Linked DNA regions of Callithrix jacchus. The protein of the gene in region 3 purifies or fractionates together with the protein of the main gene of each other region. This does not show direct contact. Links are inferred from orthologs where the notes say so. Each region holds a gene or a part of one and is shown on either strand. Other genes may lie near its edges.

Region 1 (4,629 bases), on a different chromosome or scaffold from region 3:
ACAAGTTTAAAATTTCATTACAGGAAGTAGTCTGGGGTACGACGAGTAACATGTGGCTCGCCTCTACGAGGTGCTGGGTCAAACTGCAAGCTGAAAAACAAGACATATTCATAATTTATGTTCTAAGACATCCATGTATTGAGAATTTAAATCAAGAACATGAGTCTTCCACACTTTATACTTCCTATCAAATTTCAGCTTGTCTCACTGTAATAGAACCCTAATGATAATAGTCTGTTAACTGTACTCCCCTTGAAAGCGTCAAGCAACTTCAGTCAGAGAAACTATGCTTTTATGAAAACATGATTTCAAAAGTGAAAAACCTAGTCATTTATACTAGGTTCTATACATAGTAAGTTCCTGTTGGTGTGTTTCAATGTAAGTCCATTAAAAAGAAAAACAAACCTTAAAAATAAAAGTTGGAATCTAGCATAGCACAATCACTTAAACTTTAAACATCCCATTTAGAACTATGTATTCAAGCTGGGCACCGTGGCTTACACTTGTAATCCCAACACTCTGGGAGGCCAAAGTGAAAGGATCACTTCTGCCTAGGGGTTCAAGACAAGACTGGGTAAATACAGTGACACCCTCTCTCAAAAAATAAACAAAATAAAAACCTACATATTTACCAATTCAATCAACTGTTCAGGCAGGTAGAAGTACTTACAAAGAGTATTTTAGAGTATCATCAAGTTCCATGATTGCAGCTTGGTTACCACAACGATAACAATAGTTTGGAGCACTGAAAATCGTTACTACATTCCGGTCATGGCACCAGTTATATCCCTACAAGGAAAATGAGATAAATATCTTACTTTACTCCCTTATTTACAACTAAATGTTACTTCACTCAAGGGAAAATCTCTACTCATTCCCACCCCTGCCAAAGAGGCTTAAGAAACATTAATGCTTTTTTTCTGGATGACTTATGAATTTGCGGTAATAATAATCCCTTTTCATACAACCTGTAAATATCCCTTATACAATCTGTAAATAACCCTTTTTATACAACCTGTAAGACACACATGTATTTGTTTTTCCCCTAATTATAAAACTCAGTTTTTTAGTACTAAAAAGGAAAAAAAAAAAAGCCTTTAACAAACAACACCAACCACCGAAGAATAAACTGCTTCTTATGCATCTGACTTGCTGAAAATGGTAGTGTCTCATTAGCCTCTTCTACTGCAGTGGCCTTAAAACCTGATTTAAGAATAAGTATTTATGTGGCCATTCCCTAGAGAGGTAGACACCTAATCCTGGAGACCATAACCTCACTAATTTTCTTGTCATAGGTAAAGGCCTATTAGTGTGTGGTTCACTGCCCAGGAACAAATGAGACATGCCTCTAGTCTTTCCAGCCTTGCTTCCTCAAAGTCCATCCATCTGAATGTACGAGCTACTTCTGTTACTTTTTGTTTAGTACTGTTCACAAATTTATCTTTAGCAAAGTCAGATTTTATCAATACCCACAGAGTTATACTAGTATTAAACTAATTAGGACTTTATTTTTTAAAATATGCTCATCAGTGTGCCATGTCAAGAACCTTAGCCTTGGTCAGGCACGGTGGCTCCCGCCTGTAATCCCAGCACTTTGGGAGGCCAAGGTTGGTGGATCACAAGGTCAGGAGATCGAGACCATCCTGGCCAGTAAGGTGAAACCCCGTCTCTACTAAAAATACACAGATTAGCTAGGCATGGCAGTACATGCCTGTAATCCCAGCTACTTGGGAGGCTGAGGCAGGAGAATTGCTTGAACCTGGGAGGTGGAGGTTGCAGTGAGCCGAGATGGCGCCACTGAACTATAGCCTGGCAAAAGAGCTAGACTCCATCTCAAAAAAAAAAAAAAGGAACACTAGTCTCTTTCCAATCACCTGTAATCCTACTAACCAAAGGACCATTTAAAACATTTTAGTGTATTTCTTTCCAGTCTCTCCTACACACATACATGTTAAATATATGGAATAAACAGTGGGATAATAAAATATTATACACACACTCCAACTCCCTACATCTTACTTTCCCACTCTTAAATCCCAAAGCACTTCCATTCAGAATTCTCTGAAAACATGTTAATGGTTAATTAATTGTAATCAAAAGCTTGAGCTTTTAATTCTTGTGTGCCATCTACTGAAAAGGCTCAGGCTGTAACGGCAAACTCATCAGAAGGAATAAATGGAATTTCTCACAAGTCATTAATTTAAAATTCCCTAATATCTTTCCTTAAGTTTACTAAGAAGCAAGTCGTATTTCAAAGAACAGAGCATACCTCCATCACTAGCTGGTGAGCTCTAGACACCAACGTGAGGCCATTGGCATGATTAAATGTCTCAGATATATCTTGTCCAAAGGTGTAACCAGCTCCCCGAGGAGATATACCCCAACCACCACGGTCATCTGGATCTGACCACAGCAAGTCACACATTGGACCCTAAAAAGTAACTTCAAGTTATAAACTGCCTTTAACAAACATGGTTAACACAGTATTTGAGTAATTTAACAGAAGCAGCACCTAAGTCACCCTTTTTGAGTGATGTTTGTGGAAAATGCTAATAGATTGTACAACTGAAGTCACACATCTGCATCAAATAAGATGTATTTTCTAGCAGTCTTTATGAGACACAGCTGACATCCATGGGACCCAACAGCAACATGCCCTATTAATCTGCCTATATTATGCAAATTTCAGAGCTATGAAACAGACAACCTAGGTCCTAATAAACCAAGCTCCATAGCTATTGTGATCTTGGCAGATTTCTTAATGTCAGCTTCTTCTGAACAGGGCAGAAAGAATGCTCACACCTCAAGTTGTTTTTGAGAATTAAATGAGAGAATACATATAATGAACTAACTTACAATTAAACTTCTCCACTCCCTAAAATCTTTTCAGAAAACGTATTATCAAATAAAAGTCATACCTCATGTGGAACTTCTTGTAGGCGATCAAGTGCTCTGATATGATCCAGTGTATCTATAGATGGCGAGAGACCACCATGTAGACAGAATATCTGAAACGAGTGGTTTAAAATGTTAACCTCACCTAAAAAATTGGTAAACATTCTTGGCTGGGCACAGTGGCTCATGCCTGCAACCCTTTCGGAAGCTGAGGGAGGAGGACTGCTTGAGGCCCAGAGTTTGAGACCAGCCTGGGCAACACAGCAAGACCCTGTGTCTCTATAAAATTTTAAAAAACTGAGCTGGGTGCCCCCATCACTGGGCCCCACTGGTGTTTCTGAGCTCTGCCTGAATGAGGGTTGACTCTGCAGGGTACATCTTTGCTCCAGCCCACTCTGAACTACTGAGTACACTCCCATTCTTCCTAACAGACCATTGCTGTCACACCCAGACTCCACCTTTAACAGCTCCTTTGAGAAAACTTCTTGGATATTACTCCTACTCCCTGCCAGACACTAACGTCTTCACACTCAAAAAATTTTCTTGTAAGTTCTTTTGTGTACACATCTACCTAAACCAATAATTAGCTCCTTACATCTCCCAGGCTTGTCCAAAAACAGTCTGAGAGGATATACGGGTTACACCATCCACCTCTGTGATCCCACCATATAGTTCAGTGCCTGATATAAATAATAATGCACTTAAAAAACCGGACACAATTATTTGTCAGATTAAAATTTTTTTAAAGTTTGAATGAATGTTATCAATTTCTACTAAACTATATTCCCAAAGTGGTGTAAGAGTGGAGTCAGCTGGGTACAGTGGCTCACACCTGTAATCTCAGCACTTTGAGAGACCAAGGCAGGTGGATTACAAGGTCAGGAGTTCAAGACCAGTCTGGCCAAGATGATGAAATGCTGTCTCTACTAAAAAAAATACAAAGAAATTAGCCGGGGACCTGGAATCCCAGCTACTCAGGAGGCTGAGGCAGAGAATTGCTTCAACCCAGGGAGGTGGAGGTTGCAGTGAGCAGAGTGTGTACCACTGCACTTCAGCCTGGGTGAGAGAGGAGGGAGGGAGGGAGGGAGGGAGGGAGGGAGGGAGGGAGGGAGGAAGGGAAGGAAGGAAGGAAGGAAGGAAGGAAGGAAGGAAGGAAGGAAGGAAGGAAGGAGAGAAAGAAAGAGTGGAAAGGGTCATGAGCACCTCAACATTAAAGAAAGCAGAGTCTGAAATAACCAGCAAGGAGTTTTAAGATCCACATACCTGCCCATCCACCAAGGCAGTGAGAGGAAGATAGTCAAAAAGATCTGTAAAATATTTCCAAACATTTGCATTTCCGTATTTTCTTAAACATTCATCATAGAAACCATAAACTTGTGTGATCTGTCTGCTCTCATGATTCCCTCGAAGAATGGTGATGCGTTCACGGTAACGAACCTAAAACAACAAAATGGAAAACATAATCAACTAGCTTTCAAGAACCAATGACAATCCAGGAAACTTTCTATAGAAAAAAATCTAGAATTACAATTTTGTTGAAGAACCAGCACACAACCTCTATCATACTGAACCAAAACCACAGCTCTACAAAGTTTTTAAATCCCCATGGGGTGTTTGCTCACCTCATCTCAACTAAAATCAAACTCCCTCTATCACCAACTTTATACCAAGCATAATCAATGGAATATAAAACCCCACACATAAATTACTTTACAGTTCAATAATTTTTCCAAA
Region 2 (5,235 bases), on a different chromosome or scaffold from region 3:
GTGAGACTTGAGACAGGTTTTAAATGATGAAGTTTGATTCAGATCCTTGCAACTCAAAAGTGTGATGTAGGCATCATGACCATGTGAGAGCTTGTTAGCATTGCAGAATCTTGGGCCCACTCCAGACTTGCAAGATCAAAATCTGTGCTTTTGAGGGATCAAAAGAACCCTCGGATTTCTAGGGTTCTTAGAAGTTTAGGTGGCGCTGCAGGTTTCTGGTCAGGCTGGCAATGCTGTGAGCTGGGTTGGTGGGAAATCAAGACTAGATTGGAGCCTACCATTAGGTTAGAAATAGTGAAAGGCTGGACTGGGGGAACTAGGAGTGAGGAAAATGCAGTTGTACCCTTTATCATTAAAAACAAAGAGGAACCACAGAGAAAGTAGTAAATTTATCACCAGGCAGAGGCACCTGCGTCTGAATTCCCAGCTGCACCACTTCTTGTGTGACATTTGGGTCAAATTATTTAACCTGGTTGAGCCTTTTTCTTCATCTGTAAAGTAGGGGGAAATCAATAAGACCGCAGAAGGCCCTTGTAAAGGTTCAGTAAGGTATTAATAACACACAGAAAGCACTTAGCAGTCTCTGGCACAAAGAAGATGACATCCATTAATGATAACGATATTGATAAGAATCATATATTATTCTCTGAAAAAGATGTAAAAGGAAGAAGAGAAACTACTATTTACCACTAGAGGCCCCCCACCGTGTGGTGGTTAGAGACCCAAAACAAACTTCAAAGTAAAGAACTTCATTTTAAACTGGCATTCGACTATTACGTTTTTAAAAAGTAATTAACCCCTTATGTGTTCCCAAAGGTGCCTTCATAATGAAATTCCTGTTGCTATTATTACCAGTGTTACTGTCGCTGTTAGAGTACTCTCAAAAGAGCCTGTCTCCCTCCCGCAGTGGAACTTAAAATGCGGCGGAGGCAGGGAGTTACCAAAATCGCTGCTGTGTATGCCGAATTCAACAACCTGTACTGCTGACGATCCAATCTCATTTCCCAAGCCTCTACTATCCTCATTAACTTTTCTGCTGATATAACATCTGCTTTCCATTTTCCCTCTGCCTTTACACGTGCAGAACTTGTGGTAGAGAGAAGCCCCAGTTTGGCCGTCCTGCAAGTGATAGCCAAAGAGGTAGGGGGAACCTTAGGTTAGAAGTCATCTGAACCATGTCTGGGGTCGGGGAACTCGTAAAGCTTGAGTGTGGCTACTGGTCTGCCCAGAGGAGCAGCCCCCAGCTGAGGAGGCCAGATGGCGGGAAAAAGCGGGGGCCGCCGACTCCGCGGCTGTGATCCCGCCCTAGGCCAGGCCGGGGAGCCAAGAAAGACTTCCAACACTCCCAAGTTTCAACTCAAGTCGTCTCCGAGGGTGCGTGTGCCCCAGCCTCGCACGCCCGCCTGCAACAAGGTCGCATCTAGGACGCCCTCATACCCTCAGGGTTTCCCAAACTCTTCCATTCTCTTCCCAGGCCCAGCCGTGTTCCAGGTCTCCCGTTCGCCGGGTTCTCCTCACCCCATGCCGGGAGAGTCTCCAGCTTCTCAGACTCCAGCAACCCCAGCCAAACCCCTTCGCTGCCTGGAGCCTTGGCTCCCGCGACACCGCCCGGCTGCGGGGCGGGGGCAGGGCCAACGGCGGAACCGCCCCCAGCCGCCTCCCGGGCCAGGCAAGCAGGCGGGTGGCTGGGACGCCTCCACCTCCTCTTCCTAAAGCGGCGAGGCGCAGAGGAGCGGCATCACTCGAGCCCAGGTCCCAGCCACCACCACTCACAGCGCTCGGCGTTCAGGAAGAGGAGCAGCAGCGGAGGCGGCTGCTTCAGTGGCGGGCGGGCGCCAGAAAGGTAGACTGAGTCCCAGGGAGCCCCGCCGCGAACAACCCACCTCCCAGCCCGGGCTACGCGCCTCCAGCCCAGTAACCCCACTTCTGTGTGTCCTTCCAGGCCCCTAACGACAAGCCTGGGAGGGCCGCCGAACTACCCCTGGAGGAGGAGCCAGTCCGAACTCAAGGCGCTACCGCCGCAGAAGCGGAGCGAGGCTACAGTCGCCTCCATGGCCCACTCACCAGTGGCTGTCCAAGTGCCTGGGATGCAGGTGAGGAAGCGCAGGCCGCCCCCCGCCGCCCACGTGACTGCTTGGGAGCCCGGAGCGCTCTCGGTGCTGGGCACCGACGACAAGGGACGGCCCCGGGACTCCCCTGAGGGCTGGGCCGGTCACTCTGGCCAGGTGACCTGGGAGTAGGGCTTGAGGTGTTTCCTGGTGTGTAGGCTAGGTGGTGCTCTTCGCTGGGAAGGCGAGGCGGGACTGGAGCGCGCAACTAGGTGGGGATTGAGGGCGGCTGTGGGGTATAAAAATAGGCCAGAGCCACAGACACCTGCGCCTGTGGAGCTTGGCACGGTTGGGGATGGGAGGGGGGGAGAACTTAACCTGCGAGACATGAAAGTGCCTTGGAAGTTGTGGGGTAAAACGCGAGTAGTGAGTGCCCTACAACCCCCACCCCAAACACGCACTCAAGCTGGGGCGGGGCAAGACCAGGGGTGTCGGCGGCAGCTTGAATTGGGCTCTTCCTGTGTGCGTAGGGCTGAGAGAGAGAGGTGACCTCTTTCTCCCTTTCGGTACTGCTGCTTAAGGGCAAAGTTGTATCTGGCTCCCCGACCTGGCCCAGCCCATAGCGTGGAGCGAGAAATGTTGGTCCTGTTCAGAGTCGCTGAAGTGATGAGTTCCCAGCCCCCCTCCGTGCCTTTCCCACGAGATGACTTACATGTGGTTAAAGTAAGCATATTGTCCTGGACAAGGGACTACTGCATGGGACCCAACTTCTTACTCAAAGTCTACCCAGCCCAACCCCCTCCCATTATATTTTCATTTTATTAAAGGTAAGCCATGTTGGAAAACTTCTCATGCTGTTATGTTTTTAAATCGGTGCACTTTAGGCTATCTGCTAAATGTTATCCAAATCTACCAACTTTTTAAAGTATTCACTTTTTTTCCCTTTGCTAGATAGCCCAAACAACCCATTTATGAATAGTTTAGAGGCTAAAAACAAGAAAGCCTCAGTCTCTCATGATCTAAAAATGTGAAAACAAACTTTTTTCAAGTTCAGAAATAAAATGTTTAGAGTAGCAAATAGCTTATATTTACTGTAGACTTGGGCCTCAATTTACTTATTAGCAGTGTTCTCATTTTATGCATGCCCACAAAAGTGATTTTAAAATTATTTCCCAGAAAGGGATCATTTGTGCACCTAGAACTCCTGGTGTGTCCTAAACATCAGACATTTCAGCTGCATTTAGGGCAAGTCTGGGTTGAGTCTCAGGAAGTTAGTGTATATTAAAGAGAGAGAAAGGGAAATAGGAAATAGTAGGGCTTAAGAAAAAAAAAAGATTAATCCATTCAAGCCTTGCAAAATGTCTCAGACTTTCTTCCTCTCAGGCGGCCTCCCCTCTCTTCCCCCCCCTTTTCCCCACACACCCTGTCCCACACCCCATTCATTCAGTTCTGCCTTTGATTGTATCAAGGGAATTCATAGTTTGCAATACTAAGTACAGTTTTGCCGTCGGATCTGGGAAAAAGTGACATTTTCCCACCGTGCTCTTCTTTCCGTTCTATGGAGAGTGGAACGATGCACACGTGAAGTTTGTCTCTGAGGGTCTCCATGCTTCTCGCTCCATTGTGTGCGTGAGCCTGCGTGTGTGCGTCAGCAGAGTGAGTGCCTCCCGTTCTCAAGTTTGTGATTCTGGGGAACTCTGTGTGCTAAGGAGAAAATAGTTTCCGATCTTTACTTTATTTGTCTTGACCTTATTGAATTTATATGGTTTAGGAACTGCTTACTGTTCAGTATTTCTAAGTGCTGTTCCCTGCTTTGTTTAAAGATCTGAGTTGCCTATCTCTTGAATATTTACATCTTAATTAATGTGGATTCGAATGTGAATCACATACTTTAAATTACAAACTCTGCCTTTCACTGCTGTCTGAATTCTGATTACTTTGTCCCATCTAATCTGAGTAGGGCAAACATCTCAATGTTAGCAGAGAAGAGAGGAATTATTATTATTTTTATTTTTTGGTCATTCTCTTCATCTTAATGAAATGGTAAATTCTTCTTATTTCCATTTTCTTTCTAAATGTACTTCTTAAGCACTTTGTGCAACACATAGTTTTTTCCATAGTTGAAATTGTACAATACCCTAATAATAAATGTGAGAGCACGCAGTGTGACTCTTGAACCTAGACTATTTCTGTTATTGTTATATAGCAAAATATTGCGGATGAGATGCAGAAATTCGTTGCAAGCTTGTAAAATGCTCCTAGAGTTTTATGAAAGCCTTAGGAGCAACTTTTAGATTTTTAGAAAACTTGAGTTAGCCATGTGTTCTTGAAATTACTGTATGGTGTTTCCACAAATCAGGGTGAGGTGACCGGCCAGCCTATAACTTTTTAACAGTTTATTTTAGAGAATTATGAAGATTGATGGGAAAAACGATTTTTCCAGAAATAAAAACAAAATTATCCACAATTTTTTTCTCCCTCTGAGGAGAGACGTGAAGCTACCTGTTCTATCACTTAAGACTTCCAGCATTCCTGACTTTCAAACAAAGAAATTTCTGTTGCCACTAGTTTAAAATAGAAAAGAAACTTGGAGTGAAGAAAGAAAACCCAGGATTTGGTCCAGTTCAAACTCTTCCTTATGAATTAGGTATTCAAACTCATATTGTTGATATTTCTTAATATTGTGGTAATGAACATTTTTGCCATATTACACCAAATGTTGAGGGTACTTATTTTGTGCTTGCTTCTTTAGTGTGTAACTAAAGGAATTTTCCATACCAGTAGCTGAACCCTTGAAAATATTGAAAGTACAACTTAAAAAAAAATAAGCCAATAAACCTTTTCTTTCAACTTAAATATGTACTCTTTCATGATTTGAAGAGTTTTGAACCTGTTTTCTTTGAAGTTTTCAGTTATAAATTATACTTAGTTTTAAGATATTTCCCCTTAGAACCTACAATAGTATTTTTGAGGACAAATTTTCATTTAGAATATTGTTAATAAATCTTTCATAAGATGTAGGTGGAAGAATAAAGTTAAATGTTGAATTAGAGTATTGAATGTTATGCTTTATGCTATGTCTCTTGTTAAAGAAGTTTTAAAGCTTCTGCTAAAGAACTTTAAAATTAGCCTTCACATATCTTTAAATATGAGCAAGGTGGTATAGTTTAAATATAGTTGTTATTTG
Region 3 (4,471 bases):
TGGGAGGATCACGTGAGCCTAGGAGGCAAAGATTGCAGTGAGCTGAGATGATGCCACTGCACTTCAGCTTGGGTGACAGAGTAAGACCCTGTCTCCCCAGAAAAGGAAGGGAGGGCGGGAGGGAAAAGGAAGAGAAAAAGGAGGAAAAGAAAGTAAGTAATGGCTGGTCTCAAACTCCTGGGCTCAAGCAATATTCCTGCCTCTGCCTCCCAGAAGTGCTGGGATCATTGGCATGAGCTCATTTTTATTTTTATAGGAAGGTTTCATGTCCCAGAAAATTTTCTGTCTTCATTCATAAAAATTTTAGTGAGAAGACTAAGAAATGGCCTTTGGGACAACAGTGCCCTACCCTGGAAGTCTGGGCCAAGGCACCTCTGAAGCATGAGCAGAAACTACTAAGAATTCCATTGCCATATTCCAGTCCGAATATTTGCAGTTGTAGCTGGGATTATGTGAAAAATATCCCTTTAAATTTGTGTTCTCAGCCATGTGTGATGGCTCACACCTGTAATCCCAGCATTTTGGGAGGCTGAGGTCACTTGAACCCAAGAGTTCGAGACTAGTCTGGGCAAGATGGCAAAACCCCATCTGTACAAAAAATACTAAAATTAGCTGGGCATGGTGGCACACACCTATATTCCCAACTACTCAGCAGGCTGAGAGGTGGGAGAATCGCTTGAGCTGGGAGGCCAAGGCAACAGTGAGCCATGATTGCACAACTGCATTCCGGCCTGGACAACAGGGCAAGACCCTGTCTCCAAAAATAAATTCTTCTCCTTAAAATTGGGCTTAATCCTTTGGCACCAGGAGAAGTGGAATAGGGGTAGGCAGGTTAAATAAAAGACCTTGTGAAAAATCTCCATTTAAGATCTGTATAATCGAACCTTTTCACATGCAGGATGAGCTCAAGAGAGTTTTCACCTCTTATCTAAGTATATGAAAACTTTTTTATTAGTGAAACAAGGCACACTTAGAATGCACCTTTTTGAAATGTTGAATTTCAGGCTCCTCCTTTGGTGCCTCCAGTGATTTCAGCATTGAGAGGAAACTGTCAGCTTTCAGGTTGCTGTGGTCCTGTCTTGCTCCATCACCTACACCTGACCCCCTAGTAACGCCAAACTGCCTGCAGTTTCTTGGAACTGCCTCAACCCCTCTCGCTCTTAGTTGCTCTCTTCTGTTTGCATAGAATTCTTTACATACTTCAAGTAAAGTAAATATCTTACTGTTTTCTAACAGCTTTCACGGCTGTCACTGTAAGGCAGTGTGCCCCTTGGTAGCGCTTGCTGGGTTCCATTTGTTTCTTTGTTTGTTTCATCTCTGGAACTATCATTAAGGGCCTAGTTTGGCGCTTAGTATTGGCTGTAATAATAAATGCAACTCGTTGATATTTGGAAATGAATTTTTAAAAATTCTTTAAAGGTGATCCTAGACCTTGAGGAAGAAAGGCAGAGGCATGCACAGGATACGGCCGAAGGAGATGATGTCACCTACATGCTAGAGAAGGAAAGAGAGAGGCTGACTCAACAGGTAATTCAGGTAGAGGGATTCACAGTCGCATTTGTCTAGAACAGTGTTTCCAAAAAGTTACTCTGCAGGAAAGCAATTGTTGTTGTTCGAAAGGGGGCTTCGTGGTCAAATAAGTTTGGGAACTACTGGAATGAACAAAGTTAGACAGGATTCTAACTTTAAATCTGTCAGGCTCTTTAGTATGCAGAAGCACACTGTGAGCCTTCAAGAACAAAGTAGGGGTTCTGTGTTTAGCAAATCTGTGGTTTTACAAAATCTTTTATTGATAGAGATCCCTCCCTGTGGGACTATTGTTGGTAGAACACACATTGGGGAATGGTAAAAGTTTGTAGCTCTCAAACTTTTCTTGATTTAGAACCCCCGTAAGGAATGACATTTTATGTCACAATCCAGTATAAACACACACAGTTATGCCTAAAACAAAATCTCATGAAATCATATATAACCCCTACTGTCTACGTATTGATGGTTTCTGTTTATTATTTTTTTTTAGTTCTAGTCACGGCTCACATAATTTGTTTCCCCATCCATTAGTGGATCTCAGAGTTTGAAAAACACTGAGTTTCTTCAACCCTTTCCCTTTCACCCAGAGTCTCTGCCTCAAATGGGGTTGGGAAGACAATTAAAACAGACGGTATTTGTGTAAAAAGTATGATCCAAACGCAACTATTTGAGTTTGTTTTTAAGACCTGAGAAAATTACTGCCGAAACCTTAAAAGGTTTGTTTTTAGCAGCAACATTCGTCACAAAATCTGGTTGATGCGGCTTTCCGTTATCTCGTTTTGATTGGTTCTGATGCTGTGTCCTCTCCGCATACACGAAACACAAAGGTACATCACAGCCCCACTAATCACTGCAAGACAGTATAGGAACTAGAAGTGCCTCACAAATCATCAGAGAAAGATTAAATCATAGCGTCTGCTTTTTTTGTGCTAGGTGTTCCAAAACCTCAGAAATACTTGATTTAAGCACTGTGACATGCACGTTAATCCTATATACCAGAGAACAGCTAACACAGACACTCCATTTGATCATACTTTTTGAGGATATCTCTCTTTTCTTATTCTAATCAATATATGTGGTGGCATTTTTTTCTAGCTGGAATTTGAAAAGTCCCAAGTGAAAAAGTTTGAAAAAGAACAGAAGAAGCTCTCTAGTCAGCTGGAAGAGGAGCGCTCCCGCCACAAGCAGCTCTCATCCATGCTTGTGCTTGAGTGCAAGAAAGCCACCAGCAAGGCAGCTGAGGAAGGGCAGAAGGCAGGAGAGCTGAGCCTGAAACTGGAGAAGGAGAAGAGCCGAGTGAGTAAACTGGAAGAAGAGTTGGCAGCTGAGAGAAAGCGAGGTTTGCAGACTGAGGCCCAGGTAGAGAAGCAGTTGTCAGAGTTTGACATTGAAAGGGAACAACTGAGAGCAAAACTGAACCGAGAAGAGAACCGGACCAAAACGCTGAAAGAAGAAATGGAAAGTTTGAAGAAGATGGTGAAGGACCTAGAGGCCACCCACCAGCACAGTAGCCCTAATGAGCAATTGAAGAAACCAGTAACCGTGTCCAAAGGCACAGCAACTGAGCCTCTCGTGCTAATGTCTGTGTTTTGCCAAACAGAGAGTTTTCCAGCAGAAAGAACCCATGGAAGCAGCGTAGCCAAGATAACAAACACTGGGCTGCCTGGTCCCACCTCTCCTGCCTTCTCATATGCAAAAACCAATGGCCATTTTGACCCAGAGATACAAACTACCAGGGAGCTGACTGCAGGCAACAGTGTGGAAAACCAAGTGCCTCCACGGGAAAAATCTGTGGCATTGGCCCAAGAGAAACCAGTGGAGAATGGTGGGTGTCCTGTGGGGATTGAGATGCCAGCCCCAGTGCCCAGCCCCCTCCCTTCCAGTGGGAGCTCCCTGTCTCCCAGCAGCACTGCCTCCTCCTCTTTAACCTCCTCTCCTTGTTCTTCGCCGGTACTCACTAAGCGTTTATTGGGGTCATCAGCTAGCAGCCCTGGCTACCAGTCCTCCTACCAAGTAGGCATCAACCAGCGGTTCCATGCAGCTCGGCACAAATTTCAGTCCCAAGCAGATCAGGACCAACAAGCCAGTGGCCTACAAAGCCCTCCGTCCAGGGATTTATCCCCCACCCTCATAGACAACTCTGCCGCCAAGCAGCTGGCCCGAAACACAGTCACTCAGGTGCTCTCCAGATTCACCAGCCAACAAGGGCCAATCAAGCCAGTGTCTCCCAACAGCTCTCCCTTTGGCACGGACTATCGAAATCTGGCCAACACTGCCAATCCAAGAGGTGACACAAGCCATTCACCTACTCCAGGGAAAGTATCCAGTCCCCTGAGCCCCCTATCTCCAGGAATCAAGTCCCCAACCATCCCCAGAGCTGAGAGAGGAAACCCTCCACCCATCCCACCCAAAAAACCTGGCCTCACTTCTTCTTCATCTGCTACCACTCCTTTGACCAAAACTCATTCCCAGGCATCCTCTCTGACCACCACAGAAGACCTTGCCAGCAGCTGCTCTTCCAGTACCGTTGTAGCAAATGGTAAGGACGTTGAGTTACTCTTGCCTACCAGCAGCTAGTCCCTAGGAGGGAATCTCCACGTTTGACATTCCATCAGATTTCGTCCAGGAGCCCAGACTTTGGAGTCAGATTATGTTATTTATTTTGATAGTAGCTGAAACCATCTGTATAATACATTTGGCATATTTCACCGTTTTGTATTTTTTTTAAGTAGAAACTGAGTAGTTTGGATTTGTATGGCTCACATCTTTTTACTGAAGCTAGAAAGGCACCTCAAAGATGTCTCAAGCTCAGCAGTCACCGTCATGTTGTGATGAAGAAAGCTAACTGAGTACCAGGTAGTCATTTGCGATCCGTTTTGGAACTAGAATCACTCAGCGCTCATTTCGAATTATGCAGAAGTGGTTCATGCAGATTTTTATT
Region 4 (5,342 bases), on a different chromosome or scaffold from region 3:
ATATATGCTCTGGGAAGCTTGGTAATTTTGAATTGGTCTGGCAATAATTTCCAGGCCTTCTCCCTGTAACCAGTTGCAGAAATAAAAACACTCTTCCTCCCTAGTTCATCTGCATCTCGTTACTGGGCCAATAGCAGCCTGACCCTCGGTTTGGTCTGGGAACAGCTTCAGGGTGATCAAAATCAGAACCCAACACTTTCAGCCGCATCCCAACCAACTATTTAAGAAGGGCAGTTTGTCTCTGTTCGGATGTTCAAAGGAAAAAGTGTTTTCCTTATGTCTTCTTAATAGCAGTATTATGAAAACTGTGGGGTGGCTGTGAGCAGAGAGTAGAGACCATGATGTCAGCATCAGATCCAGAAAACGGGAGTATAAATCCTAACCTAATTTATACTGAATTTTTAAATTCTTTCAAGAGATATTTCTTATTTTTGACCTAGAAGCTGCCAATGTCGTAAATACACCAGATACTGTCCCTACAGAATTAAATCATGTAATCCCCATCTCTTCAAAGAAAAAGAAACCACAACACAAAGCTTAGATGAACTGCAGGAAAGATTTGACCCAGTCTGTCTCAACAGCCCTTGCCCCCAACCATGACTCTTTACCCTTCACCTTGAGGAAGTGTTTTATCTGCATCTAAACAGCAGGTACTGGTATTACTGAAACCTGGGGGGAAGCAGGTATAGCACATAAATTCTGGGTAGTGTGGAATAGAGTGAGCAATGCATTTCCACTCCCTACTCCACTACTGCTGCTACGATATTTAGCTGAGAAAATAAAACCGTGCGTTTCAAAGCAATCCTTGCTAAGTATGATGTCTTCCTTGGCACAGATCAAAGGACACAGAACACAAGTGAGTCAAAGGCTGCTCGTTCCATCTCCACTTGCTGTTCTCCAAGGACCCACTGGGACTTTAACCACGGACCGTTTATAACTCATTTCTTATCCTGGCTTGAAGACAAAGGTCATTCACAAGACTGCATTATTTTCTGGGCATGGTAATCAGCTCTCATGATTTAATATTTTCTTGGCACCACACTCCACCGACCCCAGCACTGACTGGTATGCCAGCCATTTTTAAGTATTGTAAATGGGACTTAAATAAGTAACATTTTGGAAGGTGTGCAAACCTAAATAAATATTGCTGAGTGGGGACCGTTCTAGCCAACTCTCTTGTCTGTTAAGGGAAAAACAATACATTCATCCTCCGTTCGCGTATATATACACACACACACACACACACACACACACACACACACAAACACACTCTCTCTCTCCCCCCTCCCCCTCTCTCCCTCCCCCTCCCTCTCTCCCCCTCTCTCTCTCTCCAGTTGGTTGGTTCCGACTTCCTCCCAGCCCTGCCTTTTACTGATGGGGGTAACCAGAACAGGGCCAGCCTCAAAAACTCAGGAGTCAACTCAAGTGATAACACAGTAACCCCAAATACTCATGCAGCCCTTTCTGTTTTTCAGGAAACTAGCATATAAATATGAATGGCTTCCCAGACCTATAAGGTAGTTCACGCACTTCAGATTAACAGACGCCTTAACATCACAGGGCTGCGCCTAATAAATGCTCAGTTTCCGGCTCCTAGGTTCCTTTCCCTATTAGTCCCTTGTTCCTGGAGTGAAAGCGATGGGAAGTAAAACAGACCACAGCCCCTAAAAGGCTAACGGTGGACTCTACTTTTTATGAGTTTGTCTTTTACCCTACTTTTTCTATCTACACGTCCAAGTACCAACACTCACCATGTATGTCTGCAAGAGGTCAGCTGAAATCCAGATCCCATCATTTCCAAACTCAACACCAGAACGCACGGCCTGACAGGAACAGGTAGATTTGTGGAGACAATGGGACAGAGTACAAAGTCTCAGACTCACCCCTCCTTGTAGCAGAAAACAGCAGCCGGCCAAGTGCGGGAGCCCCCGGGGCCTAGAGGTGCCTGCAAAGGCCGGGGCACAGGAGAGAGGCTGAGGCTGTGCTCCAGCTGGGAGGAGAAGACCAGTGATGCCATCCTCCAAAGTTCACAGCTTCGGTAAAATCCTATCTACCCAAGTGCCCTACGGAGTTGTTCCCACCCCCAGCAAAAAAAAAAAAAAAAAGATAACTAAACACTTGAAGGGCAAACCAAATGCAACAAATGCGCTCCCCAGCTGGACCCAACAGGAAGTCTGCATACATTTACTTAACTCTAGCTCTCTCAATGATTCAAGCACAACTCAACTTTGATTCTGTGCTCAGATCTGAGAAATCTCAATCCTCCAGAAGCACCAAGCAAAAATAAAAAAAGGCCTCCAAGCACAAACACAGCTGCCCCAAATTCCCGGCCCACCCAAACCGCACCTCTCACAGGGAGCCTCAGTCCTGATCTCAGGACATTCTGGTGCGTGATAAAGGCACAGGCTACGAAAGGTCCAACAGCTGGGCTCCACTGACAGCAGCTGAGAAGCAGCAGGTGAGGCAAGGGTGGGTGTAGACCCGAAGACGCCATCTTATCGCTGCATAGAGACAGAGAATGCAGGGGAGGCAGCAACAGGAGACCCCACAGTGTGGCCCGGAAGCCCTCTACTCCCAACTGGCCCCCAAGGATGGCGGAGAACTACGACAGGATGCAGGACACCCCCGAACTGTGAGACAGGAGCTACCAGCCTGCAGATGCAGTGTGGGTCATCAATGGCTTCAATTGAATGATTGCTACCAGAAGCTGCCGTCCACGACTCCGTACCCAGCAGACTCAGTCAAACACATGCGTAAGCCACATACTATACAAAAGAAACTTGATTTCACTTCTGGGTCTTTTTTGATCTTAGGCTTCATAAGAACACCACACAATGTAAATTGGCAAGTATGAGAATCCTGGCTGTAATTTGGAGTCACGTTAGTGGACACCAGGTTTAAAAATAGCTATGAAGAGGCTTCCAGTAAAAGCCATCAAATGAAAGGCGCATTATGTTAGGCTGCTCTGGCCCACACTGACGTTAATAAACGAAGGAGCGTGAGAAGAAAAGTCCATCTGCAATAAATGTAGGAACTACCGGAACCGGAACCCACAGGTAACATAGCCAGGCACTGACCTCTGCTCCAGGCTGAGGGGAGAACTGAGAACACATCAGGACCCTAGGCCTGCAAGGGGGCAGGCGGCTGGGAAACTGAGGTCCTTTTCTTGGCACGTGGGGCTGAGATGGCAGGTACCATTCCTGTGGGAACCCAATTGCAGATCCAGAGGCACCCAGCAGGCCTGGTCCACGAGGGCATCTCCACTTCCCTAACCAGGAAGGCTTCCTAGTAGAGAGGCCAGCTTTTCGCTGTGGGCCCCAGGCAACTGGGCCCTCACCCCTCACCTGGGGAGCATGCGAGGGTGCCACCGGGAGTGGCACAGGCCCCTGGAGTATCTCATCCCTCGGAGAAGAGCAGGCGCTGGCACAGCCCACAGGCAGAAGGCAGGGCAGGCTGGAGAGAAAGAAGAGGACAGAGCCACCTGCCCCAGGAGGCAGTGCTCCCGCCCCTCCGCGCTCACCCCACGCCCGGCCCATGGCAGGTCCCCTCCTAAGCCAAAGGAATCCACGCTGACGAGTGGAGGAAAGGCAGTGGTAAAAAAGAAAACAAAAGGAAAATATTTCCAAATTCCCAAGGGAGAGGGGAAACATTTCAGAAAAATACTGCTCTCAACTCAAAGAAATTACAGACAATCCAGATAATCCTTTTTTTAAAATCTCCAAAAAGCATTAACACAGCTAGAGATGAAGGTAATAAAAATCACTAATAAACCTCATATTAAAAGCAGCAAAAAGTAGAAAACAATGACATAAAGAAAACTGTATTACCTAAGAGTAGAAGCACTAAAAAGATGTAAAAGTGATCAGAAAATGAAAATAAGTAAAAGGCAAAACCCCCCTTCCGGTCAGTTTCTACTAGAGAAATAATAAGACAAGTGGAAAGATTCATAGGTCCATCAAAATTTTCCAAAAATTTTTTTAAAGCTGCAAACTCCCTAGGTAAACATCAATGTAAAATTACAGGAATTGGTCCCCTTTTGGTTGGGGGACAGGGTTACTTATTTACACATCCAAAGAAAAAGGTGGAATGATGTACACTGAAATGCTAACAGTACGTTTTTCTCTTATCTGTGTTTTCTGCACTGTCCCTGTTGCTAACAATGAGCCTGTCTCACAGATGCACACTGTGGGAAAAGCAGAGCTCCAACATCGCAATTTCTAATGTACACATGTGCAGATCAAAAAATGCCAGACTTGGCTTCAGGAAGATGATTTTAAGCTTATTCCCGGCTGCTCAAAGTCAGTGATTAGACAACTCAAATCCATTACCCTAAATCAATACGGATAATAATAAAGAAGCTAAAAAGCAGCAAATGTCTTTCTATATTAGATGAAACATCCTGCATTACATTACACCAAATACCGTAATTACCGCATGACTTGTAAACAATTCTTTCCATAAGGAAAACCAACAAAATGAAAATATAAAAAAAAGAGAAAGCATTCAAGAAAAAATGTTAACTCATTTTTTTTTTAAGCTAAAAAAAGAAACATGAAAGTTTAAAGAAATTGGGAGGTCACAGAAATTGCTTAAGATCTGAATACAATTCAACACCAGTCTTTTTCTTTCTTTTTTTTTTTTTTTGAGGTGGAGTTTCACTCTTGTTACCCAGGCTGGAGTGCAATGGCGCAATCTCGGCTCACCGCAACCTCCGCCTCCTGGGTTCAAGCAATTCTCCTGCCTCAGCCTCCTCAGTAGCTGGGACTACAGGCATGCGCCACCAGTCTTAAAGTCCTTGTCATTCTGGGTTTCACTGATGAAGGGTAAGAGAGCAGGAATAACTTCCGATAAATAAAACTGTTCTGTTTAAAAGACAGCGCACAGATGACCGCTGTGGCAAAGGCTGGGCAGGGTGCTGGGGTCCTCCTGATGCCTAGTGCCCCCACATTGTCCCCCAACCCCTGTTCACAAGGGACAACTGCAAAAGGGCCGCAGGCACAAAGCGTAGCCCCTTCTCCTGAAGGCAGTGTTATGCCACCAGATCTGGTAAGCATTCAGGCAGATCTCAAATGGCCTGGCCCGTCTGAGAAAGCCCTTAGTTTCAAAAGCCTTCTACCAACTCTTACAAAAACACACACTTGAGCAATTCACTTTAAAAGCCTTTTTTATAATTTTGCTTTAAAAAAAAAAAAATGGTGATGAAATCCCCAGACCTGTCAAAAGCTGAATCTATGCCAGAAGGAGACCAGATTTCACCACGAATATGGTGAACAGTGACTTCCTTCAGTGCCCTGGCCACAAGTGGCCTCACTCACCACCAGATGGGCTGCGTATCCTTCCAC
Region 5 (5,163 bases), on a different chromosome or scaffold from region 3:
AATAGTAATTTGATAATTTGGAGAAATTGTAATCTTAGCACTTTGGGAAGCCAAGGCAGGTTGATTACTTGAGCCCAGGAGTTGGAGACTAGCCTGGGCATCATGACAAAACCCTGTCTCTACAAAAAAATACAAAAATTAGCTGGGTGTGGTGATGTGTGCCTGTAGTCCAAGCTACTCAGGAGGCTAAAGTGGGAGGACCACCTGAGCTGGGGAGGTTGCAGTGAGCAGAGATTACACTGCTGCAGTCCAGCCCAGGCAACAGAGTGAGACCCTGTTTCAAAAAATAAATAATAATTTGGAGAAACAGTCCTTAACATTAGAGTACTGTGATCTAAGACCTCGTTTCATATATAAGTAAAACATGGCAGCACGAATAACAAGTCTAATCTGCTTTCCATTAAACTGTAATAACAGTATAGCAGACATGATAAAATAAGATGCATTACTTTATCTCTTTGAAATTGGTTGGTAGTGTATACTCCATAGCACAACTTCTACTGGCTTTTGAGTAAAGAAAATTTTTTTTTAAATGCAACAGATTTTAAATGCCATTTCCCTGCATAGCTATTAATATAATTACTGAACCTAATTTCCTTATGTTGTTATTTTTGTCTTATTTTTCAACCAAGTGCTTCTCACCTATATCAATTTTTAGAAACATACTAGTACATTAGGATATTTTCTAAGAAACTAAGCACATAAAAATACCCACTATGGTATTTAAAATATTAGTCTTGTCTTTCATGTGTATATTAAAACTTTTTCTTTGACACGGAGTCTCACTTTGTCTCCCAGGCTGGAGTGCAGTGGTGTGATCTTGGCTCACTGCAACCTCCGTCTCCTGAGCTCCAGCAACTCTCATGCTTCAGTCTCCCTAGGAGCTGGGACTACAAGCGTGCACCACCATGCCTGGCTAATTTTTGTATTTTTAGTAGAGATGGGGTTTCACAATGTTGGCCAAGCTGGTCTCGAAACCCTGGCCTACAGTGATGGCCCACCTCAGCCTCCCAAAGCGCTGGGATTACAGGTGTGCCCGGCCATATTCACTTAAACATTTAACGACCCAGGATAACATCCACCTAGGATTTTAAGTTGTATACACAATGCTTTTATTTTGTTTCGATCAAAATAGTCTATTCATGACAATATTTATGAGCCCATTCACTTCTAAGATAACAAATTGTTAGTCTAGCCAGTCTCCTTCAAACTTGTTTTCTCCTTCTACCCACCATCGTCAAGATGTAAAGGAATTTAAAAATCGCTCCTCCTCTCCCAACCCCCCGAAACACACCCATTCCAGGAAAAGAAAGAAGAGGGGACGCAAAGTGGAATAAGTTATGGCCAGAGACCGAGCGCACAAAAATGGGACCAAAGCCCAGGCTCGAGACCGAGACGAGGAATCGGTCACCACAGCCGGAAGATCTCGGCTATTTGCCAGAAGAGAACTGACTGGTGCTAAGAAACCAGACAGAGGGAGTGACAGGAGAAGAAAGAGGGCCCACCTTTGGGACTGCCTGAACACTCAAAGAATGAAAAAGGAGAAACGTCAGGAATCCGAGACAGGCTGCAGTCCACCAGAGCGACCAGCCAGGTTAATACCCAGCTCCGAAGGCCAGCACTCGGGTGAGACCCTCGGGAAAGAAACGGCGCCTGGAGATCGCCTGCTTGAAGGAAACTGATAACCAGGAAGCCTAGGACCGCTTCGCTTCCAAGTCAGAATCCCAGCCTCGCGTCCGGTAGCCGTCGCCAGACACCGAACAGGGTCTGTGGGCGGGCTTAGGGGCGGAGCCCGAGCTCCTTCCCCGCCCCCTAGCGGCGACTCCGGTTGCGTTCTCAATGCGCCGGCGTAGGGTGAGCCGGACTCTATTTGGCGATTAAGCGTGCGGCGGCGTTCGCTACCCGGCATGCTGTGCGCTAGTGACGGCCCTCTGCCTATCCCCTTCCCAACCCTACCCCCACCCCTACCTCCGCGGCCCCCCCTTCCCCTAAAGTGAGTGAGACGGGCAGATGGAGGAGGGACTGTAATGGCGGCGGCCGGCAGCTCCCTGCTCTAACCCACAGCAGGCACACAGCAACGACCCCTTCCCCGCCCCTCTCCTGGCCGGCCTCCGCCCCGCCGCTAGCGCGGGGCCACGCTTTCCAGCCCTTCCCCCAGCTGTCGGCGTCTCGCCCTGCGCCCCGGCCGGGGCCCCACACACAATGGACGAGCTTGCCGGAGGCGGTGGTGGCGGCCCCGGGATGGCGGCCCCTCCCCGGCAGCAGCAGGGACCTGGGGGGAACCTGGGCCTTTCGCCAGGGGGGAACGGAGCGGCGGGCGGCGGGGGTCCTCCGGCCTCCGAAGGAACGGGTCCCGCGGCAGGCCCCGAGCTGTCCCGGCCGCAGCAGTACACTATCCCGGGGATACTGCACTACATTCAGCACGAGTGGGCTCGGTTCGAGATGGAGCGGGCGCACTGGGAGGTGGAACGGGCCGAACTGCAGGTACCTCGTTGGGGTCGGTGTGCGGGACGGCTGCGGCGGCGGGGTTCCTAGCCGGGGCGGGGGTGGGGGGGTGGGGCCGGTACTCCTCTCAGCCGGAGCCGGCACCTCGGGAGGCCGAGCGAAACCTACCTGTGCTGCTCGGGGTGTGATAGTCTTCTCAACGACTTTCTTGGAGTTCTCCTCCCTCTTTTCCCGCAGAAGCTTGCTCCCCAACGTTCACTAGCTACGCGGTGCGGCCCTCCTCGGGGCAGCCATTTTGGCTTTTAGTATGGCGTCTGCGGGGGCTCCTCCGCAGGCGGCCTTCCCGGGCCTCCAGGGCTTGAGTCTGGGTTGGGGCCGCTCGACACTGAGTTTGCTCTTGTTTGTTCCTCTTGAGGTGAGGAACCCAACGAGAGGGACTGGAATAGGCATCTTACCCCCTTTTTCCGGACCACCCCCTTTTCCGATTTGGCATATCTGGCCCCCTCCCTCAGACTTGGTACGCACTTGCCCCTTGACAGCTACTCTTCTGTCCTGGGCGGCTACGGTGCACAGTGAGTTGCGACTGCCCTGTGAAGTTTTATTTCCCATCGTCAACTTTAAGTACTTCTTACCTGAGATGCTGCCTTACTCACTTGGATTCTCTGTAGTTATTCCTTTCTTAGTGACTCATCAACGGTTTTAGCACTGAATTTTTCTTTTTAGAGTACTCTTCACTAGACCTCCTTTCCCCATCCCTTTCTTTATCCATAAAAAAAAAACCACACCAGACTGACTATGCTGTATTTATGAAACGACTGAAAAGATTTAATAGAAGTTTGAAGTGAAACGTAGTTGTATCATATTACTTACTCGTGCAGGAGAAGCAAAGTGAGATGTCCTCCCGACCCTTCATAGTTGAGCTTGACTCGTTCCTTATAATGTGAACCTTTGATAGGCTACACGTTTGGAAGATGTTGGTAGTTAACGGCTCATGTCCCGGATCTCAAAATTGCCGCATCTTTTTGAAAGGATTAACTTTCTTGGGTATTTGTGTTTATTTTTAAATACCTTTGCAGGGCAAATTTAGGCTTAGAAGAAGAAAGCATACGTCTAAATAGTGTTGCATCTGTTCTTCAGACTGTTGTATATTCAGGAGGTAAGCGGTATTTGCTGTCATATATGTCATATGCCTATGGTGAATAGTTAGGCAAATGTAGTGTTGAAAGGAAGAGGACTGGATTAACTAGAAAGGGTGTCCTCAAACAAATATGAATCTCTTTAGTTTGGTGCTGAACTAGTAAACTTTTATATGACTCCACAAAATGGGTGAAGTTAAACTTTTGGAAAGTAAAAAATATTTAGATATTTTGACACTGTATGAAGTCTTAAAAAATTGTAACATTTGTTAGTCATTTCAGTGTTTTACAATTGTGTTTTGATATAATATTGTGCTTTAAAAATACATAACTTTCAAAAAGCTGAAGTCAAAGCTGTGGTTTCTTTTAAGTTGTGTAGTCTGCTTTAAATACTTAAGATTTATAGAATTTTGTTGGTATACAGCTTTCTACTACATCATGCTGCAAACTTAATTTTCTGTGTGAGTAAAGTTAGTAACGCATTTATTTTTAAAATTTGCATTAACAAATGCATTAAGGCTTAGGCTCACTAAATAATACTTCACCATTCCCCACTTTGGTTTCTTCCACCTTTTTACTATTGTATGCAAGTTTGGATTTTAACACTCTTCAAGTCAGCAATTTCATTTTTCACCTATAAACTTCACTAATGTAAGCAGCTGAGAAGAAAGATAGCTTGTGTCCAAATTAGTAAAACCTGTTCATTAATGAAGCCTTTATTGCCTTGAGCATTTTCTTTCCCTTCTAGGTCTCCTCTCCTTTACAGCAACAGAAGAGTGTTTTAAGGACGAGTCCTCTTGCTTGCTTGCTCTCAGTTCTACTCTTGGTATAGTAGTTCTGATATAGCCATCCTAAGTTATTGTTTCCTTGTTTTGAAAAAATCCTGCAGTGTTTCTAGACTCTTTATTACATACTGATTCTTTTGTAATAAAATGCTCATGATGGTGTTGGTGTTTTTTTTGTGCTATATATTTATAATGTTTTATTGAGTTACTTAGTTAATAGAGTTTCTAGTTTGCATCAGGATATTGAATTTGCATTAGGTGCCTTCAGTCTACTGAGATTGCTTGTGAGGTGCATATTTTAAAATGTATGTGTTGAATACAAATTTGTGGGAGGGTTGTAGTGAAGCATCAGTGGATTTTTACTGTAAACTTAAATTTATTTTTAAGAAAGACAACCTAGAAATAAGACAACTTACATATTATTATGTACAGTCTATGGTGCACTGTCAATCTACACATATTTTTAAAGTGTTAATTATTGAATAGTTTCAATAGTGAACATAAAGAGCTTAAGGAGTACCTCATATTGATGTAAAATTTTAGTAGGGAATTATATTTTCCCCGGCTTTGAAAAAGATATTAAAAGGAACTTTGCAGTATGATTCTGTTCTCTGTAAAAAGAATTTAGAGTAAAGCTCTGTCTTAGAAACTTGGAACTAAACCAAAGGATCATGTCTTAAAGCTCTTTTGTCTCTGATTCTTCCTTACCTTGGACTTAGGTAAAGCATTGTTAGTATGGTTGTAGGACGATGGTTTCTAAACAGTAGTGCCTGTCAGAATCACTTGTAGAACTTTAA
Region 6 (5,278 bases), on a different chromosome or scaffold from region 3:
TCCTCCACTTCTCAGCTGCATAGCTTTGACCAAGTTATTTATAGTGCTTTAGTTTCCTCATCTGGAAAATGTGGACAAGGACAGGACCTACTTCAAAGAGTAACTGACAATCTAGTAAGATCGTCAGTGTTATTCACTCCTCTGTACTGTACCTAGCATAGAGCAAGCACCCAATCATGTGTTATGCAGATGGTTTAGGTCAGAGGTTGGCAATTTTTTCTCTGCAAAGGGCTACAGAGCAAATATTTTAAGTTCTGAGCGCCAGACCATCTCTGCTACAACTATGCAAGTCTGTGCTGTAGCACAAAAGTAGCCATAGGAGCTTCTGGACAGATGAACACCTGGTGGTTCCTGGAGGGTGGAATGCCCAGGGGAGGGCATGGCAGCTCCACACATCTCACCCCATACCTCGCCCTACGTGTCTTCATCTGTATCCTTTGTAATATCCTTTAGAATAAACTGGTAAGCTGCCTAGCTCTGATCCTGGCACAAAGACAAGCCCCTACAAATGTTTGCTGGTTAGTGAATGGATGGATGAATGAAAGGAAGGAAGGACGGGCAGTTGAAGGAAGTAATCCTGGAGTTAAAAAACAAAAAACAGGCCAGGCACGGTGGCTCATGCCTGTAATCCCCACACTTTGGGAGGCTGAGGCGGGCAGATCACGAGGTCAGGAGTTTGAGACTAGCCTGACCAACATGGTGAAACCCTGTCTTGAAAAAGAAAAAAAAGAAACGGGCCAGGTGCAGTGGCTCACGCCTATAATTCCAGCACTGTGGGAGGCCGAGATGGGCGGATCATCTGAGGTCAGTAGTTTGAGACCAGCCTGGTCAACCTGGAGAAACCCCATCTCTTCTAAAAATACGAAAAAAAAATTAGCCAGGGGTGGTGGCGCATGCCCAGTTACTCAGGAGTCTGAGGCAGGAGAATCACTTGAACCCAGGAGGTGGAGGCTGCAGTGTGCCAAGACTGCATCACTGCACTCCAGCCTGGGCAACAGTGGGAGACTCTGCCAGAAAAAAAAAAAAAAAAAAAAAAAAAGGGCCATTACACATCTGCTTCCTCTTCCTCGGAGGCTCCTCCCCACCTTCTTTCAGTCTCTTCTCAAACTCTGCATCCTCAGAGGGGCGTTGCCCGAATGGCCTACTTAAAATGCATCTGCCCCACCCAACTTTGTAATCCTGCTTCCTCTGCCTTCAGGTGTGTTCTCAAACATCATCTCAACAAGGCCTCCCCAGACTACACTTTAAAACTGCATCTCCTCTCTCTCTTACTTTTCTCCCTGACACTCATCCGCATGTAATACAGTATACTCTTCGTTTACTGTCTGTCTTTCCTCACTACAAGGTAAACTCCCCAAGTGCGGGATTTTTTGTCTCGTTCCCTGCTATACCAGTGCCTAGAACAGTGCCCCGCACAGAACACTCGCCCAATTCAATGTGGATTCACTACCACAACATCCTGTTTGTTCCCTTCCCATCACTTTTCATTCAGCTCTGTTGGCCTGTTTCACACGCAGATCCTGTAGAGCAACTGGTGTCTCCACTACACCCCCAGCATCATACCTGATACACGCCATGTGTTTACTGAACAAAAGAATTCATACGGCCGGGCGCGGTGGCTCACGCCTGTAATCCCAACACTTTGGGAGGCCGAGGCGGGTGGATCATGAGGTCAGGAGTTTAAGACCAGCCTCACCAATATAGTGAAAGCCCATCTCTACTAAAAATACAAAAATTAGCCAGCTGTGGTGACATGCACCTGTAGTCCCAGCTACTCTGGAGGCTGAGGCAGGAGAATCGCTTGAACCTGGGAGGCGGAGGTTGCAGTGAGCCAAGATCATGCCACTGCATTCCAGCCTGGGCGACAGAGTGAGACTCCATCTCAAAAAAAAAAAAAAAATTCAATACAACAGCCCTATGAACTACATAATTATCCCCAATCAAGAGAAGAGCAAACAGAGGCCTAGAGAGATTAACTAATTTGTCCATGTCAATCAGTGAGAAGTGGAAGGGCCAGGAGTACAACCACGGTCTGTCTGCCACCAGAAAGTGATATACCAGGAACCTAGGGATGGGACCCACGTTTTGTAGGTTACCCAGTGCACTTGTTCAATTTTATAAACGGGAAAACTGAGGCCTAAAGGGAGGATGGGACCTCTTTAATCACCACTCCCAATAAGTGCAGCTAATATTTATCCGGCCCTTATGGCAGGCCTGACAGCACTCAACTTTGTGTCATAATTCATTCAGCCCTTCAACAAGTCCCTCCAGCAAGACGAGGGCTACAATTAGCCCACATTTTATGGGACAGAGGCCCAGAGCGGTGAAATAATTTGCACAAGGTCACACAGCGGGTGGGAGGTGAACTTGAAGTCCTAACTGTTTTCAATCCCACACCACCTTGGGCCACCTCATCCCATAACCAGAAATGTTCACCCGGGCCGGGCGCGGTGGCTCACCCCTGTAATCCTAGCACTTTGGGAGGCCGAGGCGGGTGGATCGCCTAAGGTCAGGAGTTTGAGACCAAGCCTGGCTAGCAAAGCAAAATCCCATCTCTACTAAGAATACAAAAATTAGTTGGGCGTGGTGGATCGCGGCGGTAATCTCAGCTACTTAGGGGGCTGAGGCGCGAGGACGACTTGAACCCGGGAGGCGAGGCTGCACTGAGCCGAGATCGCGCCTCTGCACCCCCACCTGGGTGACACAGCGAGCTCGGTATCGAAAAAAAAAAAAAATTAGGAAGAAATGTTCATCGGCTTAGCAAAGCCTTCGCCCCCTATCCTGGTCAATGGGAGGATCCGGGGGTGGGGAGGCAGCTTTCTACAATGTAATTCGCCCCTAAATTTGGCTAGTCCCCACTTTTTGGGGGGGGCGCTGTTTCTGCATCCCCCTCCTCTTAGGACACCTACACCAAAATGAGAAGCGTAGGAAAAGCAGGAATTGCGATGGCAGGCTTTCGCCTCTCGGTCCCCACTTGGCCCAGGAGTATAAACCCAGAAAAGAAAAAAAAAACAAAAAACTCTCCAGGTCCCGATCCACCAGGCGGCCCTCCCCCACTCGGAGCAAGTCACGCGCGCCCCACATCCCCAAGGGACCATTCGGAAGCCGCCGCCAATCACGGAGTCCTCCTCTCTCCTCTCCCCAACCCAGCCCACCGATCGTAGCCCAGGTCGCGGCCTCCCAGGACCCAGGGCCACCGCGCGCACTCTGCAGGCCCGGGACCCTCGAGGCTGGCGCTGGCCCCCGCCCTCCGCTGGGTCGACACCCAATCGGGGGCGCCGTCTCAATGAGTCCGGGCACCCGGGGAGGTAAGAAAAGCACACTGATTGGCCGCCGCTTCCTTCCGCCACTCCCAGCGAACGCTGAGTCTTCGCGAGTGCTGCCGGTGTCCCAAGATCCCCCTCCCCACTTCCCTAACTCCCCCGTAGCCTCCGGACCTGAACATCCTCGTTGCGGAGTTCGTCTATGAGCACCGCGATGGGGTACAACGAGTCGTCGCCGTCGGCCGCCGCCATCTTGGCTCCGTCCCGTTCCTGTCAGACTGCGGCCAGCGCTGTGCTGAAACCCGGGGCAGAGCTGGGAGGAGGAGGAGGAAACGCGCGCGTGGGGGCGCCCAAGCCAGTTTACAGGGGCTGCTCCATGGTCATTGGCCGCGCTACGCCGGGCTAAGCCCGCGTTTCTTTGGTCCAGACTAGTGAAGTCCCGCCCATTTCCCATTTGCCATTGGTCGATTGAACGAGATTTGACTAGTTTGAGCCTAGGAGAGCGAGAAAGAGGAACTTAGCGGTGTCCTAGCGACCAACATTGTACCCGCCCTCGTCTCCGCTGACAACGACCGAGACGAGCAGTTGTTTGTAGCCAATGAAGGGCGAGATGGGGAGGAGGCTAAGCCTGCCTTTCGGTAAATCCCGGAGGCTTCTGCGCGTGCGTCGATGGTAATACATGACGTCATGTGGGGAGCGGTAGGGTGTGCAGGTTTTGGGTTATCAAGCCGTGGTTCCATTGGCTGGCGGAGTGGCCCCCCCCCCGCGCCTTTGCGCGGGAGGAGAACGGAATGAGACTTTGTATTTATTTTATGCCAAGGCCTAGAGAAGGGAGTGACTTGCCCTGTTCTCTCTCTTTCTCTATCTTTTTTTTTTTTTTTTTGCTTTTTTAAAGACATTGTCTCGCTGTGTTGCCCAGGCTGGAGTGCAGTGGCGCGATCTCGGCTCATTGCCGCCTGGACCTCCCCAGTCTGAAACGACCCTCTGGCCTCAGCCTGCAGAAAATTTTTGTAGAACCGAGTCTATGTTGAGCTCAGTTGTCTTGCTCTTTGGATGAAACCCAAACCCCTCGGCTGGTATCCAATACCCAGATTACAGGCGCGAGGCATCAAGCCAGGCCTAATCTCTGTTTTTAACCTCCCTAAACACATTGCCCCCCCCCCACCAACCCACCCACTGAAATCTTAGGACCACTGTAACTAAGGGAGTTGGAGGGATGGGAAGGCCTGGGATGCTCTTTCCTCTTTCATTCTGCTACGCTTGAAGGGCTGGACTGAGCTAGCGCTCTGACAGGTCTGAATGCCCCCAGCATCTTTTTCTTTCTTTTTTTTTTTGAGATGGAGTCTCAGTCTGTCGCCCAGGCTGCAGTGCAGTTGCCTGATCTCAGCACAGTGCAACCTCTACCTCCCTGGCTCAAGTGATTCTGCTGCCTCAGCCTCCGGAGTAGCTGGGTAAATTTTGTATTTTTAGTAGAGACGGGGTTTTCACCACTTTGGGCTAGGCTGACCTCAAACTCCTGACCTCAGGGTGATCTGCCTGCCTTGGCCTTCTAAAGCGAGCCACCACACCTGGCCTTTTCTTTCTTTCTTTTCTTTTCTTTTTTTTTTTTTTTTGAGATGGAGTTTCGTTCTTGTCACCCAGGCTGAAGTGCAGTGACGCGATCTCAGCTCACTGCAATCTCTGCATCCCAAGTTCAAGCGATTCTCCTGCCTCAGCCTCCTGAGTAGCTGAGACCCTTTTGCCTCTGCCTCCTGAGTACTACAGGGATGTACCACCATGCCCAGCTAAACTTATCGTAAAATTTTCTTTTTTGCAGTGACAGGGATCTTGCTATGACCTTGTGGCTTCAAGCAATCCTTCCTCCTTGGACTCCCAAAGTGTTGGGATTACAAAAAGCACGAGCCACCACGCCCGGCTAATTTTGTATATTTAGTAGAGATGGGGTTTCACCATGTTGGCCATGGTTGGTCTCGAACTCCCGACCTCAGGTGGTCCACCTACCTGGACCTCCCAAA

What was found.
Region 1: the proteins of CTTNBP2NL (region 3) and PPP2CA purify together in Homo sapiens (affinity purification with mass spectrometry; 4 studies listed by BioGRID and IntAct, with this or other methods). This does not show direct contact. The link is inferred for Callithrix jacchus from reciprocal best matches to the Homo sapiens genes CTTNBP2NL and PPP2CA.
Region 2: the proteins of CTTNBP2NL (region 3) and STK26 purify together in Homo sapiens (affinity purification with mass spectrometry; 4 studies listed by BioGRID and IntAct, with this or other methods). This does not show direct contact. The link is inferred for Callithrix jacchus from reciprocal best matches to the Homo sapiens genes CTTNBP2NL and STK26.
Region 4: the proteins of CTTNBP2NL (region 3) and STK24 purify together in Homo sapiens (affinity purification with mass spectrometry; 3 studies listed by BioGRID and IntAct, with this or other methods). This does not show direct contact. The link is inferred for Callithrix jacchus from reciprocal best matches to the Homo sapiens genes CTTNBP2NL and STK24.
Region 5: the proteins of CTTNBP2NL (region 3) and STRN3 purify together in Homo sapiens (affinity purification with mass spectrometry; 4 studies listed by BioGRID and IntAct, with this or other methods). This does not show direct contact. The link is inferred for Callithrix jacchus from reciprocal best matches to the Homo sapiens genes CTTNBP2NL and STRN3.
Region 6: the proteins of CTTNBP2NL (region 3) and PPP2R1A purify together in Homo sapiens (affinity purification with mass spectrometry; 6 studies listed by BioGRID and IntAct, with this or other methods). This does not show direct contact. The link is inferred for Callithrix jacchus from reciprocal best matches to the Homo sapiens genes CTTNBP2NL and PPP2R1A.

Annotation. Positions count from the first base shown.
Region 1 is NC_133503.1:74,131,136-74,135,764, reverse strand, and holds part of PPP2CA (serine/threonine-protein phosphatase 2A catalytic subunit alpha isoform), read right to left. Parts: intron 4,333-4,629; coding exon 4,159-4,332; intron 3,009-4,158; coding exon 2,919-3,008; intron 2,432-2,918; coding exon 2,270-2,431; intron 790-2,269; coding exon 671-789; intron 91-670; coding exon 18-90; 3' UTR 1-17. UniProt on the Homo sapiens protein: Catalytic subunit of protein phosphatase 2A (PP2A), a serine/threonine phosphatase involved in the regulation of a wide variety of enzymes, signal transduction pathways, and cellular events.
Region 2 is NC_133524.1:127,582,212-127,587,446, forward strand, and holds the start of STK26 (serine/threonine-protein kinase 26), read left to right. Parts: upstream 1-1,737; 5' UTR 1,738-1,843; intron 1,844-1,942; 5' UTR 1,943-2,051; coding exon 2,052-2,093; intron 2,094-5,235. UniProt on the Homo sapiens protein: Serine/threonine-protein kinase that acts as a mediator of cell growth. Modulates apoptosis. In association with STK24 negatively regulates Golgi reorientation in polarized cell migration upon RHO activation.
Region 3 is NC_133508.1:150,416,952-150,421,422, forward strand, and holds part of CTTNBP2NL (CTTNBP2 N-terminal-like protein), read left to right. Parts: intron 1-1,419; coding exon 1,420-1,527; intron 1,528-2,625; coding exon 2,626-4,107; 3' UTR 4,108-4,471. UniProt on the Homo sapiens protein: Regulates lamellipodial actin dynamics in a CTTN-dependent manner. Associates with core striatin-interacting phosphatase and kinase (STRIPAK) complex to form CTTNBP2NL-STRIPAK complexes.
Region 4 is NC_133502.1:14,261,131-14,266,472, forward strand, and holds the start of STK24 (serine/threonine-protein kinase 24), read right to left. Parts: upstream 3,552-5,342; 5' UTR 3,537-3,551; coding exon 3,078-3,536; intron 1,770-3,077; exon of another isoform or gene 1,755-1,769; coding exon of another isoform or gene 1,752-1,754; intron 1-1,751. UniProt on the Homo sapiens protein: Serine/threonine-protein kinase that acts on both serine and threonine residues and promotes apoptosis in response to stress stimuli and caspase activation.
Region 5 is NC_133509.1:65,427,640-65,432,802, reverse strand, and holds the start of STRN3 (striatin-3), read left to right. Parts: upstream 1-2,008; 5' UTR 2,009-2,202; coding exon 2,203-2,484; intron 2,485-2,613; exon of another isoform or gene 2,614-2,860; intron 2,861-3,315; exon of another isoform or gene 3,316-3,371; intron 3,372-3,521; exon of another isoform or gene 3,522-3,601; intron 3,602-5,163. UniProt on the Homo sapiens protein: Calmodulin-binding scaffolding protein which is the center of the striatin-interacting phosphatase and kinase (STRIPAK) complexes.
Region 6 is NC_133523.1:45,574,936-45,580,213, reverse strand, and holds the start of PPP2R1A (serine/threonine-protein phosphatase 2A 65 kDa regulatory subunit A alpha isoform), read right to left. Parts: upstream 3,590-5,278; 5' UTR 3,516-3,589; coding exon 3,438-3,515; intron 1-3,437. UniProt on the Homo sapiens protein: The PR65 subunit of protein phosphatase 2A serves as a scaffolding molecule to coordinate the assembly of the catalytic subunit and a variable regulatory B subunit.